Notamacropus eugenii: one gene and its partner. The protein of the gene in region 1 interacts with the protein of each later gene in a pairwise test. Links are inferred from orthologs where the notes say so. Each region holds a gene or a part of one and is shown in the gene's direction. Other genes may lie near its edges.

What was found. The genes of interacting proteins can lie anywhere in the genome.
Region 2: the proteins of ARAF (region 1) and NELFCD interact in binary tests that used the Homo sapiens proteins (3 or more experiments, as listed by UniProt). The link is inferred for Notamacropus eugenii from reciprocal best matches to the Homo sapiens genes ARAF and NELFCD.

What each region holds. Positions count from the first base shown.
Region 1 is NC_092879.1:101,763,058-101,771,101, forward strand, and holds the start of ARAF (serine/threonine-protein kinase A-Raf), read left to right. Parts: upstream 1-4,987; 5' UTR 4,988-5,450; intron 5,451-7,361; 5' UTR 7,362-7,387; coding exon 7,388-7,528; intron 7,529-7,647; coding exon 7,648-7,751; intron 7,752-7,834; coding exon 7,835-8,044. Other genes in the region: olfactory receptor 3A2-like, read left to right, coding at 2,839-3,836. UniProt on the Homo sapiens protein: Involved in the transduction of mitogenic signals from the cell membrane to the nucleus. May also regulate the TOR signaling cascade. Phosphorylates PFKFB2.
Region 2 is NC_092872.1:506,007,938-506,015,218, reverse strand, and holds the start of NELFCD (negative elongation factor C/D), read left to right. Parts: upstream 1-4,181; 5' UTR 4,182-4,426; coding exon 4,427-4,486; intron 4,487-7,281. UniProt on the Homo sapiens protein: Essential component of the NELF complex, a complex that negatively regulates the elongation of transcription by RNA polymerase II.

The sequences.
Region 1 (8,044 bases):
CAGCAAAAGAGAGGAGAGAAGGGGGAGGACCCAGGACCAAGCCTTGGGGGACGCCCACAGGGAGGCTCAGAAGGGGCAGTTCAAGTCAAAGAACCAAAGCAGAAGTCAAAGAAAAAGTGTGCTGAAGGACGGAGTGATCCGCAAGAGGGAAAACTGAAAAAGCCTATTGGGTTTATCATAAGAAATGATGGGTAGCCTGAGGGGCAGCAGCAGAATGATGAAGATGAAGGAGCAAATGGAAGCTAGGACAGTGGAGGCAAGAAATGAGGATGACTCTTTCTAGAAGCTTGACTGAGAAAAGGAAAAGAAATAAAAGATCTAAAGTACTGGAGGACCAAGTTCAAATTTAAGGACCAGAACAATCTTCATCCTTCTCGGGGACTCACTCCGGAATATTGGCTTTCTCACCATCATGTCCCAGGAGCCCCATCACACCAAAAGATCCTCTGGCCCTTTCTCCGATTGCTCATTTCCTCCAAGAACCTCCATTTGCAGGGACAGCCCAGGCCAAACATGTTACTCCCTCATTCCAACTCTCCAGGTCCCATGTAGGCATTTTCTCTCTCCAGCAGAACATAAGGAAGCTCTTTCAGGGCAGGAACTGGCTTTGGGCTTGTATTTGTACTTGTAGCCCTTAACACAGTAAGGACTGAATAAATGCTCCCTGACTTGTCTTGTGTACTTGTAGATAGCACAGAAGGGGAGGGATGTGAAAATGGGAGAGCTGCTGAGGATGATTCACACCCTTCCCTTCTCTGTCTGTCTCTGTCCATATCTCTGTCTCTCTTACACACACACACACACACACACACACACACACACACGCACGTGCTCCTCCCCATTCTCCAGTAGCTCCGTGTCGCCTTTAAGATCAAATATGAACATCTTTCTTTGGCTTGTGAAGCTCTTCAGAAGTGACCGCCTTCCCGGCTTTCCCTCTTCTCCCATGTTACTCTCTCCTCTGCAGTCCAACCATCGTGGGCTACTCCCTGTTCCCCACATCCATTTCCTGTCTCCACACCTTTGCACTGTCTGTCATTTGTGTCGGGAATGCAGCTCTGAAACTTTTTAAATCCTGATTTCCCTCCAGATTCAATTCAAACACCACCTTCTACCTGATGCCCTTCTGGGCCCCTCTGCTGCTAGGCCCTTCCTCCCATGATCACCCTGTATTCATTTTCTATATATTATGTGCAGAACATAAGCTCCTTGAGGGCAAGGCCTACTTCTCTTTCACTTTTCTAGCTCCAGAACTCTGCATATAGTAAGCATGTTTTCAGATCATTGCCTGAATGGTCAACAGGATGAGCTCCCAGAGGAGAGGGATGGGAAGGATGTCAATCCCAGAAGTACAGAGGGTGGACTTGGATCAGGACAAAAGCCTTTGATCAGCCATAGCAGCTACATGAGCACTCTGGCTAAACAGGCCAAGGGCCCAGCAGCCTTGTCACTCTTGAGGCCTCCAGGCCTCCATGTGCATCACTGACTGCAGTTCTTGGTTTCAGAGAACGGGGACAATCATGGTGTCAGTCCCACCTGTAGGCTTATGCTATGAATGGCCAGATTGTGGATGGCTCTGTTAGAGGAAAGTGTTCAAGAGCAAATGAGTCCTTGGGCTCAGGTGAGCTACTGAAGGGAGCCAGAACTCCACAAGTTCTGCTCGACTTATTTGTCAAGACCAGACATTGATGTGACCCCAAGGAATCCATGTCCAAATCATCTGCCACTGGCAGGAAACCAAGCCACAGCCATGATCACCTATCCGTGCCAGTGTAGCTCAGCACCTCCTCTGCACTGGACAGTCTTTGAGCTGCAGGCAGCATTGAGAAGAGGGTCACTTGCCCAGGATCACCTGACCAGCCAGTCTGTGTCAGAAGCAGGCCTTGAACCCAGGGCAGCTTCCTGGTTCTGCTGCCAGGCTTCTAGCTGCTAAGCCACACTGAAACCAAGGGCAAATCCCATCACTTCCTGGGCTTGACTTCCATATTTCTAGTAAAGAAGAGTGCCTCTTGTACTTGGCCGTTTCCTTTCCTGTTATGGCTAAGCAGTAAGAAGGAAGGAACGAACAGGAACCTGAAAGCGTTCATGCTCAGAAAATTCCCACTCTGATGCCTTCAAGGTAGAGAAAGTTCCATAAGATTTGATGTCAAAATTAGAGCCCCCAAGAACAATCAATCAGGGGTCTTGTGCAAAGCTCAGAAAACGTTTTTCCAACAATCTCCTCTATATTTCATTTTTCTATCTGCTCCCTAGTTTTCTATTCTATTTCATTCCCTTGAGAAACAAAACTCCTTTCTCTCCATACCTGTTTGGATCTGGCAGCAATCTAGCTTGAAGATGAAGATGAAGAGACATTAGGTGCAAACCAACAGGGCTGATCTTGATTTCAGTAAGACATGAGGAGACTCTGCATCCTCACTAAGGCACAGGATTCCAAGGACGTCTATAGTTGGTGAAGAGTGTTTTACTGAAAAAAGAGAGCAAAACACACATACCTGCAAATGCACATATACACACGCATGCACATATACTTATCAGCTCACCACAATGTCCACACCAGATGTGAAGAGGGATTTCCTAGAAAGGACAGGTTGGGTGGAGGACACTAGAGGTTGGAGGGACATCACATAGTCTGGGCAAAGGGTCAGGGAGTGTTGAGTGAGGCCACAGCTAGACATAGAGAGGTAGGGACAGATTTCGATGACCGCCTGAATCTGGTGGATGGGAAATGTGAGGAGAAGCCGAGATGCTGCTGAGAGCTGAAGCTTGTGGGGCAGGGAGACAATGGGGCCCCAACTCTGAGCTAACGACTCTATTGTACTGTGGCTTCTCCCTCAGCCATCTTCAATTCCAGTCATCTTGCTACTGGCCAAGAAGAAAGTCCACCCATGGACCTCCAACCTAGGTATAATGTGACAGCTGTGACAGAGTTCATCTTGTTGGGGTTGACACAGAGGTGGGAACTGCAGCCAGTCCTTTTTGTTATCTTTCTCTTGGCCTATGTGGCCACAGTTGGCGGCAACCTGGGCATCTTGGCTGCCATCTTGGTGGAGCCCAAGCTGCGTACGCCAATGTACTTCTTTCTGGGGAATCTGTCACTGCTGGATATTGGATGTGTCAGCGTCACAGTGCCCCCAATGCTAGTGCGACTTGTATCCCAAGACCAAGCTGTTCCCTTTGCTGCCTGCCTCTCTCAGCTCTTCTTCTTCCACCTGCTCGCTGGTGTTGACTGCTTCCTGCTGACTGCCATGGCCTATGATCGCTTCCTGGCCATCTGCCATCCTCTCACCTATACAACTCAAATGGGACAAGAAGTCCAGGGAGTGTTGGTGGCTGCATCTTGGGCCTGCTCACTTGGAAATGCATTGACCCATACAGTGGCACTATCCACACTTGACTTCTGTGGCCCCAATGTGGTGAACCATTTCTACTGTGACCTCCCCCAACTCTTTCATCTTGCCTGCTCTAGTACACACCTCAATGAGCTGCTGCTCTTTGCTCTGAGTATCATCATGGCAGGAGTCCCCATGGTCCTCATTGTCACCTCCTACCTGCAGGTAGCAGCTGCTGTGCTGAGGATCGGATCAGCAGAGGGTCGGAGAAAGGCCCTCTCCACCTGCAGCTCACACCTGGCTGTTGTGAGCATCTTCTATGGGGCTGGTATCTTCAGCTACATGCACCTGGGTTCCATGGAGGCCTCAGACCAGAGCAAAGGGGTTGGAATCCTCAACACTGTCCTCAGCCCCATGCTCAATCCACTCATCTATAGCCTCCGGAACCCAGACGTGCAGGGAGCCTTGCGGCAGGTTTTCACAGGGCAGAGAGTCTCAGCCTGAGGTGACCAGTGGCCTAGGCCCTTGGCCCCACTGATTTTTAAAGTCTTTCCTAGGTTCTCAGTGATCTCCCAGCTCTGTCCTCCACCTGACAACAACAGGTCCTTGCCCCTCAGCCCCCACTAGCCTAGGCTCTCATTCTTAGTGGTACCCTAAGCCTTTCAAAGGGCATCAGGCATCTCATAAGTCTTTTTTTAGCCTGAAAATTATAGGGATGAGTAATGTTGCCTGGTCTGAGGGAATCCTGAGGCTAAGGCTCCCTTCTTCATTGACCTCTCCTTAGGGGTTCTTTGTAGTCAGTCCCCATTTTTCTTCTCTCTTTGGCTGAAAACTGACAGGAACGGATCTTGACTGGAGGTGATCAGGACACTAGACTTTTTTCCTCAGTGGTTTTCCAGATTTATCATTGAGTTTCAGTAATCGATTCACTTTCCTTGACTGGACTATGACAAAATGAAAAGCAGAGCTCAGCCTGAAGCTTTTATCATTGGTGAGCAGCCTCTCCTGAGCTGCCCCAGGTCTAACGCGTCTAGAGCTCTCTTCCTTGAGGATTTCAAAACTGTGTGTGTGTGTGTGTGTGTGTGTGTGTGTGTGTGTGTGTCTCTCTCTGTCTCTTCTCTCCTCTCCTCTCTTTGTGTGTGTCTCTCTGTCTCTGTCTCTCTATTTCTCTCCCTCCCTTCTCCCTCATTTCTCTCCTCGAACCAGTGCTGAGAAGGCTGGGTGACAGACAGAGCTTGCCCTCAGGTGACCTTATCTTCCCAGGGAAACCCATGGGGGGAGGGGGAGAGGGAGAGGGAGAGGGGAAGAGAGAGAGTCCGAAATGGACAACGGGAGAGGGGAGGGGGAAGGCAATAGGAATGACGGGAAGAGGCGGAATGGAGTGTTTGCTCTAGAATTCTTTCCTGGGACAGTCAGCTCACTCAAAAGCACTCATTCCGCCACATCCTTAACCCCCGAGGCGGGTTGCAGCCCCAAGCCTGCACCACCCAGTTCTCAGTCAACTCTTTGCCCCACCTTTCTCCTGGTCGGCTTAAAGAGCCACAACCAACACCAAGACCCAGGCAGCCAATGAGCTGTCTAAGAGACTGGAGAAAGCCAATGAGAGTGCACCAACGGAGAAGTGGGAGGAGGAAGAGGAACAAGACGCTCTGACCAATCATTGCAGGCCTAGAAGGGGTGGGGGGAGAAGTAGCCAATGGACACTCGACAGAGGTGGGGCTCCCAGGATTGAGAAGGTAGAGGGCGGGGCCTGACAACTATTGAACTGAGGGAAAACTGCTCCTGAAGTGACCGATGTGCACTCGGGAGAGGTGGGGCTCCGGGAGAGTGAGGGATTGAAAGGAAAGGGGTGAACTCCCTGAGTGGCCAATCAGTGTCATCTGCCTAAGGAGGAGAAAGCATCCGCCAATGAGCATGGAATTCTGGAGGAGCGGCGGCTCCTATAGTCAATGAGATTGTGGGTAGGGGCTTTGCTGGAGCTGAAGCGACCAATGGGATCTCGACGGGGGCAGGCCTGACGGAACAGGGGCCTTGAGGCGGCCGTGGCCGGTTCCACCCTCTGGGAGAGGAAAGATGGGCCCCAAGATGGAGGAGGCCACTGTGCCAGCACCGTGACAGGTAAGACGACGCCAGGCTGAAGCCACGGTGGCCGTTCTGTATTACTTCCTGTCTTATCCCGTGCCTCCCCCCTTCACGGAAAAAGAATGGAATCTCCCGTCGCTGGGAGGGGTAGCTGGACGCAACGCGCAAGCGCGAAGGGAAGGGGGAGGGGCACGGGATTTGGTTCCTTTAAACTATCTGGCTGCTGGCGCCTGCGCACAGAGTCCCTCCCGGGGTGGGGCTATTTCCCACCCCCTCTTCACCGTCGTCTCCCCCCCAAAATCTTTCCATTCCACCTACCCCTTCTACCCCTTGCCCCTTTTTGGCGCTTGGAAATCCCCACCCACACTCGGAAACTTCGTTTTCCCTAGTGATAAGAGCTTCCTGGTTATGGCTCTTGGAGATCCTCTGCTAACCCCAATATCTAGGTCCTGCGAAGAGTTTTCAGAAATTTTCGCCTCCCCTCATCTCAGCCGCGCCTCGGCCCCCCCCCCCCCCCCCCCCCCCCCCCCCCCCCGCAACAGTCCAAGTCCCTTCGAAATGAAGGCCCAGGGACACTGGGCGCACCTGTGGGTTGTCCCCACCCACCTGGAGTCTGGCAACCACTTGAGTAGCCACTGGCTCCCCATATAAGTACTCAGGCTCACAAGGCTGACCACAGAATCATGGAAATTTCCCAGAGAGTACATACACACACAGTCACCCATGCACAGGGACACGAGGGGCACACCACCCCCCCAATCCCAAATCTTTGACTTATGATATTCCCCTGGGTGGGGCTCCAGCCAATTATAATGTCAGGGTTTGCCCTTGCTAATCACTCTGATTTTTGCTTCCTGTAGCTCTGCTCAACAGGTGCTGGTTGTTTCTCCAAGGCCCACTCACTGTATACCATAGCTCCACCTCTGTGTTCCTTTGCTGATGTCCATAGTGCTGCCATTCGCTTCCCCAGGGGCCCAGCTCTAAACATTGATCCACATGGAGTGACCACTCTGAAGTCCCTGCCTTGTCCAACTGTGTTTACAGCTGAAAGCATGTGTGAAGAACAGTTAGGGGGTCACAGCTCCCCTGTACCTTTGCAAACCTTATTTGTATTCTCGAATCCTGTGCCCCTGCCTTGGCACAACAAAAGGGCTGTTGGGGTGCTGTGGAAATGTTCCCCTCCTTGCTTTGTTCAAACATGTCTCTATCTGCAGGTTCTGGTGACTCAGTATTGTTTACTTTCTTTCCTCCCCAGCACCCAGGCAGCAGCTCTACTGCTTGTTTCTGTGGCAGCCCCACTCCCACTTCAGAGTTGGCCCCGAAATCATTTAAGCTCCTTCACAAAAGATCCCTAAGGATTAGAATTAGGGCTGGAATTAGAGGGTAGGATGGATGGCACCAGCTGTTGGGGGCAGGAATCATAGTCTCCTATCCCATCATGCTTGGCCATCTGACAGTGCTTAGAAATTTCTATCTCCACCTTTGTCAACCTCTGTTATGGGAACTAAAGATTTCCTGATCCACACACACCCTGCCCCCCAAGAGTTCAATGTCTTCTGATCTTCCCCCGCCCCAAATAGTCTTATCCCCATAAATGGTAATGAGAGATCTTGAGCCATCCCAACATCATTGTCATTCTAATGGTGCTTGCACAGCATAGGGGTCATAGGGCTAAAGCTGAGAGGGAAGAAAAGTCATGTAATCCAACCTCATCATTTGACAAAGGAGGAAACTGAGGCGAGCAGAGGTGAAGTGACTTGTCCAAGTTTACCCAGCTAATACATGGCAGAGCCAGGATTTGAACCCAAGGCTTCCCACTCCAAACCCAGCACCCTTTCTGCTGCACCAGTGTCCAGCCCACCATCATCCTTGTCCCCTCAGTAAAGTATAGAGATCTATAGCCTAGCCCATCATCGTTTCCCAACAGTGTCTTTCCCCACCTTTCAGGTCACTTGAGTGTGGGGGGGGGCAAGATGAGACGAGGCCCGACTGCCACCCCTGTGGAACCCTCCAGGGGCTTAACCCTACCTGAAGATCCTGATGCTATCCCTTTCACCAGCAATAGGGTTGGGGGCACTGTGAAGGTCTATCTGCCCAACCAGCAGCGCACAGTGGTGAGCAAGCCATCTGGGAAAGATCAGGGGCCCTGCCCAGGGAAGGAAGAAACTCCTAATCTTGGGAGCTGGGACAAGGAGGGAAACTTGGGAAAAAGTAAATCACAAGCATCTGTTAGGTAACTGCGAGAGATGGGATGACCGTCTCCGACTCACTGGACAAGGCGCTGAAGGTGCGGGGACTGAACCAAGACTGCTGCGCTGTGTATCGCCTTGTGCAGGGGTGAGCTCCCTGTTTGTCCTCCCTTCTCCCAGTTCCCCTAGCCCCCTCCTTCCCCATATGACTCATCCTCTCGGCCCCCTTAGCCGGAAGACAGCAACAGCTTGGGATGCAGCCATTGCTCCCTTGCATGGGGAAGAACTGACAGTCGAGGTCCGGGCTGATGTTCCGCTTGCAGCTGCTCACAACTTTGCCCGGAAGACCTTCCTGGCTCTCACCTTCTGTGACTTCTGCCGCCGCTTCCTCTTTCATGGCTTCCGCTGCCAGACATGTGGCTACAAGTTCCACCAACATTG
Region 2 (7,281 bases), on another chromosome or scaffold:
AGTTCTTCTTTACATCAAACCTAAATTTGACTGCAACTTCCATCCAGTATTAGTTCTGTCACACAAAGTGCCAGTTAGAAAAGCTTTCACTTCAAAAGATTCTTAACACTTTCTAGATTCATCAAAGCAATTGTGCCCAAATACCTTTTTAAAGTTTTTCCGTAGAAAGCATCCACTCACCATTTATTATTTACAGTGTACAAAATATTATGTGGAGACAAATCATTTGCACAATGAGGCAGATCTAGTTAGATTTTGTGACCTTAAATTGCTTTTATTAAATTTTTCTCCTATTAAAAAAAGAAAAGAATTAAAGAAAATGGTCTGTAGGCAACCAGCCAGAAGAATTTGAATTTCATGTTTCAGTTTAAAATATTGTATGTCTTATTTTGGCTACCAACGTATACCCCAGAATCCCTTAAAGTACTAGTAGAATTTCAGCTTTGATGAGGTACTGGAAGGTAGAACTGCTGATGTTCTGCCATCACATTTTTAGATAGACAACAATTTCAACAAAGCTCTTGGTATCTGTTGAAAGGTTGAATTATGTGTCTGGTAAGTCTAAAAATTGTTTATTCTGTCAGCAGTGATTGCTCTGGAGAGATGATATACAAGTATGATCGGCATAAATATGACTTCTGTGTTTCAGGGTTTTTTTGTAATCTGCATCATTGGAAGGAGTAAGATAAAAAGATCACAGTGTTTGAAGTTTTGGAGTAATAACTGAAAAGTTATTTTGATGGACATTCCGGATCAGTTAAGATTTTTCTTATAGAAGAAACTTTTAAAAATTTGTTATACATTATAAATTATACAAGTTTATTTAGGCACACTATGTAATTCTCAATACAAAAATTTACAGATCTCAAGATATGTATAATTTTCTATCACAATACCCACAGCAACTGTCCCAAACCCTCTCGTTAAGCCTACTATCACACCTCCTCATATTTTATCTCAAAGAACCTCACCTTCTTCTTTAGAGAAAATCAAGGCCATCCTTCATCACTTCCCTGGATTCCCCTCTAAAGTACAATACCCCTCAATTTCATCTCTATTTTCTCATTTACTTTTGTCTCTAATTAGGAGGTGGTCTTTGTCAAGTCCAGCCTTGCCCTGTCTTCTTTTGATATCATCCCACTCATTCTCCAGGAGACTGTCCCTTCAGTCATCCCCTTTCTATGATCTTAAATCTCTTCTATCTACTGGTTCCTTCTCCAGTTTCTACAAACCTACTTAAGTCTTCTTCCCCTCACCCTTAAAAATCTTTTAACTTTATGCACTCAACTTATCATCCTATATCTTGACTTCCTTTCATGGCCAAAACTGCTAGAAAAAAACTCTCTACTGTTTTTGCTTCTCACTCTTGCTTCCCAACCTCTTGCAAACTTGGCTTCCCTCCTTATTACTCCACTGAAACTGCCTTCTATTAACAGCTAAGAAAGACATCCTCTTAGCTACTAAATTTAAAGGTCTTTCTTAGTGCTCATCTTTCTTAACATTGATCACTCTGGATACTCTTCAGCTCTTGACACTCATCTCTTTTGATTCTCTCCTGACCTGTCTGACCACACTTCGGGTTCCTTTGCAGGCTTATCACCAGTTTTCTATCCATCCCCATGCATGGCGTGGCTATTTCCAAGGTTTTGTCCTGGGCCCTCCCCTCACTACAACTTCTCAATGCTCTTATCAGGTCCCAGGAGTTCAAGATTATCACCTTTATTAACATGACTCCTAACCCTACCCAGTCCTCTGAGCTCCAGACCTGTATCACCAAATGCCTGCCAAAAATCTCTACCTGGATATCCTTATGCATCTCAAAATCAAAATGTTCACATTAGAACTTACTATGTTCTTCCCTTTACCCTCCTCAAAAATTTCATATTTCTATTGGAGGTATTCTTCCAGTCAACAAAGTTCACAAATTCAATCATCCTTAACTCTTCCTTTTCCCTCATCTTCCATATGTAATCATTTGTCAAGTTTGGCCATTTCTATATCCAACCCATATCCTTCATATATTCTCTTCTCCACACATGTGGTCAACACCCTACTTCAGACTCTCATTCATCTCTTCCTTCATCTATTCAGCAGCCACCTAAATGAATCCACAGCTTCCAATCTCTCCCCTATCCAATGTACCATCCACATAGCTGCCAAAATAATATTCCTAAAGCACATATCTGACATCACTCCCCTGCTCAAGAATTTTCAATGGTTACCTGTTGCATCTCATATAAAATACAAAATGCTTACCTTGGCATTAACAGGTTTTCATTGTGTGTAAGACATAGGGAGGAAACAAGTTCTGTAAAAAAAAAAAAAAAAGCAATAAAAATTTTTTTTAAAGGTTTATACAGTCTGACTCCAGTTTATCTTTCCAGGCTTGTTTTCACAGTACTCTTCACCTAATCTACATTTTAGCAATTTCCCAAACTTGGAATTATCCCCCACCTGCTTTCCTTTGCAAAGGTTGTTCCCCTTTCTACAGGCATTCTCCAACCCACCAGGGCGTCTTAGCTTCATTCAAGGCTTAGCTCATCTTTCCTCATCTCTAAATGTTCGTGCTCTCATCCTCTTCCAAATTATCTTGTGTTTACTTATCTGTTTACATATTGCATCCTCTCAGCAAAATAGAAGCCCTTTGAGGACAGGTACTAGTTTTCATTTGTAATTGTATCCTAGCACAAACAGATCCATTTTTATTGGTTGAATTGTACAGGATGAAATCCTAAACTTGCCGAACCCCTGAAATTCAGTTTTAAAAGACTAGGGATCTGTTATTCATGGCAAAATATCTAAGTCAAACCATTCTTTAGCAAATTAGTTATAACTAGATTTACCTAGCATACCTAGGTAGTCATGGATTTTGGCTTAAGCGCTGTTCACAACAGCCAAAAGAAAACAGGAGATGGACAAGGGAAAGGAAGGCCCCCTGGGGACCTTTGTTTACAAGGGGTATAGAAAGCAAGGGAAAATCTGGAGATTGCCCTGTGGCACATAAACAGAGCAGGCGTACGCTCCAACCTAACAATCCTGCTGTGGTTTACATTCTGCAAAGGAGTTAAAAGACAGAAACAGAGGAGCGTGTCCCCAAAGTCTTCGTGCAATGTAGTTAAATTCTGAATGACTCCAGACTTCTGGGACACCTGGCATATTAAAGTGTTCATAACCCCATTCTTTGTGGAAGAAAAAACCTGAAAAGAGAAGGTGACCATTGACTGGAAGGGGTGGAACCTACGGCAGGTAAATGTGGACTATTATTGTGAATCAAAGCGCAAAAAAGGTACCAGAAACATACGATTTTCATGGTGTAGAACAGAATAAGCAGAACCAAGAACGCAAGATCCCAGGGGCGCAAAGGAGCAGATTTATTCAGATGAAACCGAACCGTTCAGTAATGGAAAAGCCAGAAATGTTTCCGAAGGAATGACAGTAAACATGCCTACCAGAACCAGGTATCGTACGGGTTTCAAGCTTTCCGGGTTAGATTTGTAAAGTGCTTCTCCGCCGCAGGTCCAGTCTGCGGGCTACACGTGTTCTGTTCCGTGGTTTTAATGAGAGGGTGGGGAGTGGCCGCGCTGCACAGGAGGGGGGCTGCACAGGATGGGGGCTGCGCGGAGGGGGGCTGCACAGGAGGGGGGCTGCACAGCAGGGGGGCTGCACAGCAGGGGGGCTGCGCGGAGAGGGGCTGCACAGGAGGGGGGCTGCGCGGAGGGGGGCTGCGCGGAGGGGGGCTGCACAGCAGGGGGGCTGCACAGCAGGGGGGCTGCACAGCAGGGGGGCTGCGCGGAGGGCTTCCCCTAAGTAGGACGTGACGGTTTATCTAGGCAAAGAAACCTGTTGGAAAGGCTAATTGTAATATGTCGGGGAAATGCCCGCTTCTTTACCAATAAACGTGAAAAACACGCCCCATTCCCCAGTGGGAGGGTGGGGGGACGAGGCGAATGCGCGAGCGCGAGGCTGGAGGTGTCCGGGGTGCCTCGGAGGCCATGGCCTCTGTACCGCGGCCCGCCGCAGGATTCTCACCGCGAGAAACCCGGAGAGAACAGACCCGAACAGAGCCGACACCCTCGAGTTACCGACCGCGAAAGATTCAGGTGGCGCCTCGGGAACTATTCAAATTTAGAACACGGGTACTGAAGAGGAAAGCGTACGGAAGCCTGCTGGAGACATTTGCTGGGAGCGCTCCGCTATTCAACGCCGCTTTAGTGCGCGGTTGCCGTCCAGCAGGGGGCGAACCTCAACTGAGAAACTACTCAAGCTGGGAACCAGCGCGCAGGCGCCGTCGACGGCGCAGGCGCAAACGGGAGTGAGTATAGCGAAGCCCGCTCGTCCGCTACCCCCGGCTAGCTCGGCTGGCGTGGCGCTGACGGTGGCGCTTGGGCGAGCGGTGGCGCACTCTCGAGCGGGTGTCTCCTCGGCTATGGATGAAGACTACTTCGGGAGCGCTGCTGAGTGGGGAGAAGACGCCGACGGCGCCCAGGTAAGAGGACGCCGAGGCGCGGCCATTGATGGCTCGCCATGGTCAGGTCTCCACTCTCCTCCGGTACCGAGCCCTGGGCCGCGGCCGAGGCCCCAGAGGGCGGCCCCGCTCGGGATGGGGCCTGGAGACCCCCGCGGAGAGCCCAGTGGCCCCAGTCTCTGTGGGTGTGCACGCTTCACATGTTGTTTACCAACCCTTGATTGCAATCTTGTAATGGCGAAAACTGCCCCACTTAAAATCGTCTTCTGTTGGCTTCGCCTCCCGACCCCGGGTGATTGCAGCCCCTTAACCGCAAAGCCCTCCGCCGTCCGCTAGGCCCTCCCGTCTTCCTCCCCAGCACTGCCTTCCCCAGCCAGATAGCAGCGTTCGCCCTGCACGTTGCCTGCCGTTTTTCCGCCTCTTTGCCGGACGGCCTGTCGCGGGCTTGCAGTGTCCTTCTGTGGCTCTGGGGGATGTGCTGGCCCACCTTTACAGCCCGATCCAGGTGCCGCTTCTCCGCGGATCCTCCCCTCAGCCCTGCAGTGGCCTTTGTCTTCCCCGAGGAGCCTTTGTTTACCTCTGTGGTGCGCTTAGGAGGCGGCGAGACCGAACCGCTGTGTGTGCAGTGCAGGGCGCGGAGGCGGGAGAGCCGAGGACAGGTCCAGCCTCAGCCACCCGGGAGCTGGGTGACCCTGGGCGAGGCGCGTAACCTCTGTTTGCCTTCATCTGCTGGAGAAGGAACTGACAGACCACTCCAGCATCCCTGCCCAGAAGAGCCCGTGGATCCAGGGGGCGTGAAGAGTCGGACGAGGCTGAACAACGAAGGACTCCCTCACGCAGAATCGTGTGTGTGATTGACCTCCCCACGAAACTAAGCCCCATAAGGACAGGAACTGTCTCTTCTGAAACTTTGCGGTCCCCTCCGTACTCTGCGTAGTGGGTGCTGAAGATTTCAGTTCAGTTCAACAATATTTACTAAGTACCTCTATCGTCGGGCATTGTATTAGACTGGGGTTACAGGCATAAAAATGAAGCAGCTCTTGTACACAAGGAGCCTGCATTCTGCTGTTTGTTGAAACACCTCTTCGAGTTTAGGACAGGTCTCTTCCCCGTACAATCCATTCCTCACACTACTTCCAGGTGAAAAGAGTGGATTAAAGACGATTTTGATTTGATGTTATATTTAAGGAAGACGGTAGCGTATTCACATAGAGTCTTACATGTAGTAATCAGTGTTTGATTTGAAAACAATAAAGGGGAGAGGGAAGAGGTGTTTTCAGATTTAATAGTCTAGCCTTTCATTGACTTACTCATTCAAACAACCTTTATTAAACCTTGGACTGATTCATAATTTGCACACCAGTTGTATCCTGTCTTTCACTAAAGTTCTACTCCAGTGCCTCTTCTGATGTCGTTCTTGAAGACTGTGCAAGGAATGTGTGAAACCTTGGCTGGACCTAGCATGATGGGCAGGTGATGGGTAATTCGTCAATTTAAAGAGATTCCTCCCTGGAAGGTTAGCCATGGGTTGATGAATTTCTTGACTACAGCAGCTCCAGAAGAGCATAGAGATGCTGCTAAGGAGGAAGTACCTACACTGATAAAAATCACAGATCTTTTGAAGTAGACTTACTTATAGGAAGTATGGCAGGAAGTTGTTATTTTTTCCAGTCATTTGGCAGTAAATCCTTTTTCCACAGTACCAAGGTAAACCTAAACATGTTCTTGTCAGGGATGTTAGTGTGCAACCTTTCCATATCCTGAGAATGTTTCTTTTAAAAAAAAAAAAGTAACTTCCAGAGAAGATTTTAGAAAGGAAATTAATCACTTAGTTATACTAAGGATTAAGACCAGTAATTAAATCTTGTATTCAAGTAATTTTTGATGTGCTGTTTTAGATTGCTACTCACTCTAGATTGCTTTAGACTTTGTTTTTTCTTTGTTTATTCAGAAGGTACATTCTTACTTCTACCTGCCAACCCAAAGCACAGGAGCAATGTCTAGCATCTTTCCTCTAAAACAATGCATCTTAAACTGTGGGTCTCCACCCCCATGGGGTTTCATAACTGAATGTGAGGGGTGGTGAAAAATATAGCAACAGTAGAAGGTTTCTGAACATGCAGCAACCAAAAAGTAATTCAGAATCAAACGCATAATAAATCCCAGGTGTTTCTGGCAGCACTCTCCTGTGTTGCATTGCACAGCTTCATTGTAGCCTTGGTTCTGAACACATAACATGAGCACTTTGGAAAGCCAGAAACACATCAGCTCAGATTTGAGACTATTTTATGTAATAAATTGCAGCATTTTTTCTCTGTGTACAAAATCATTAAATGAGTTTCGATTTGAGATTAGGACTGAATTTCCAACTATTTCTGAAATGGCCCTAAATATACTTCTGCCATGTTGTACTACGTATTTATGCGAAGCGGTGTTCTCAGCATTGATGATTATAAAATCAAAATTTTGCTCAACTCTGAAGAAATGTTGAAGATTCTCTACATCCTGCAGTATCAAATATTCTGACAAGATTTGATTCTTTATGCAAAAATAAGCACATGCATCTCATTAGTATGCAAATTTGCTTTCATGTTTAATAAATGGTAAAATTATCTGTATACCAAAGAATTATTTTAAAAATAAATTACTTTATGATATTTTATCAGTAAATGTTTGATTTGTGTATCTATTTCATATACCTATATACCCAGGGTCACATAAAAATTTCTCCTGCAAAATGGGGTTGAGAGTAGAAAAGGTTTAAGAAGCCCTGCTCTAAAACAGCAGTTCTCAAAATTTTTGTTCTCAGGGACCCC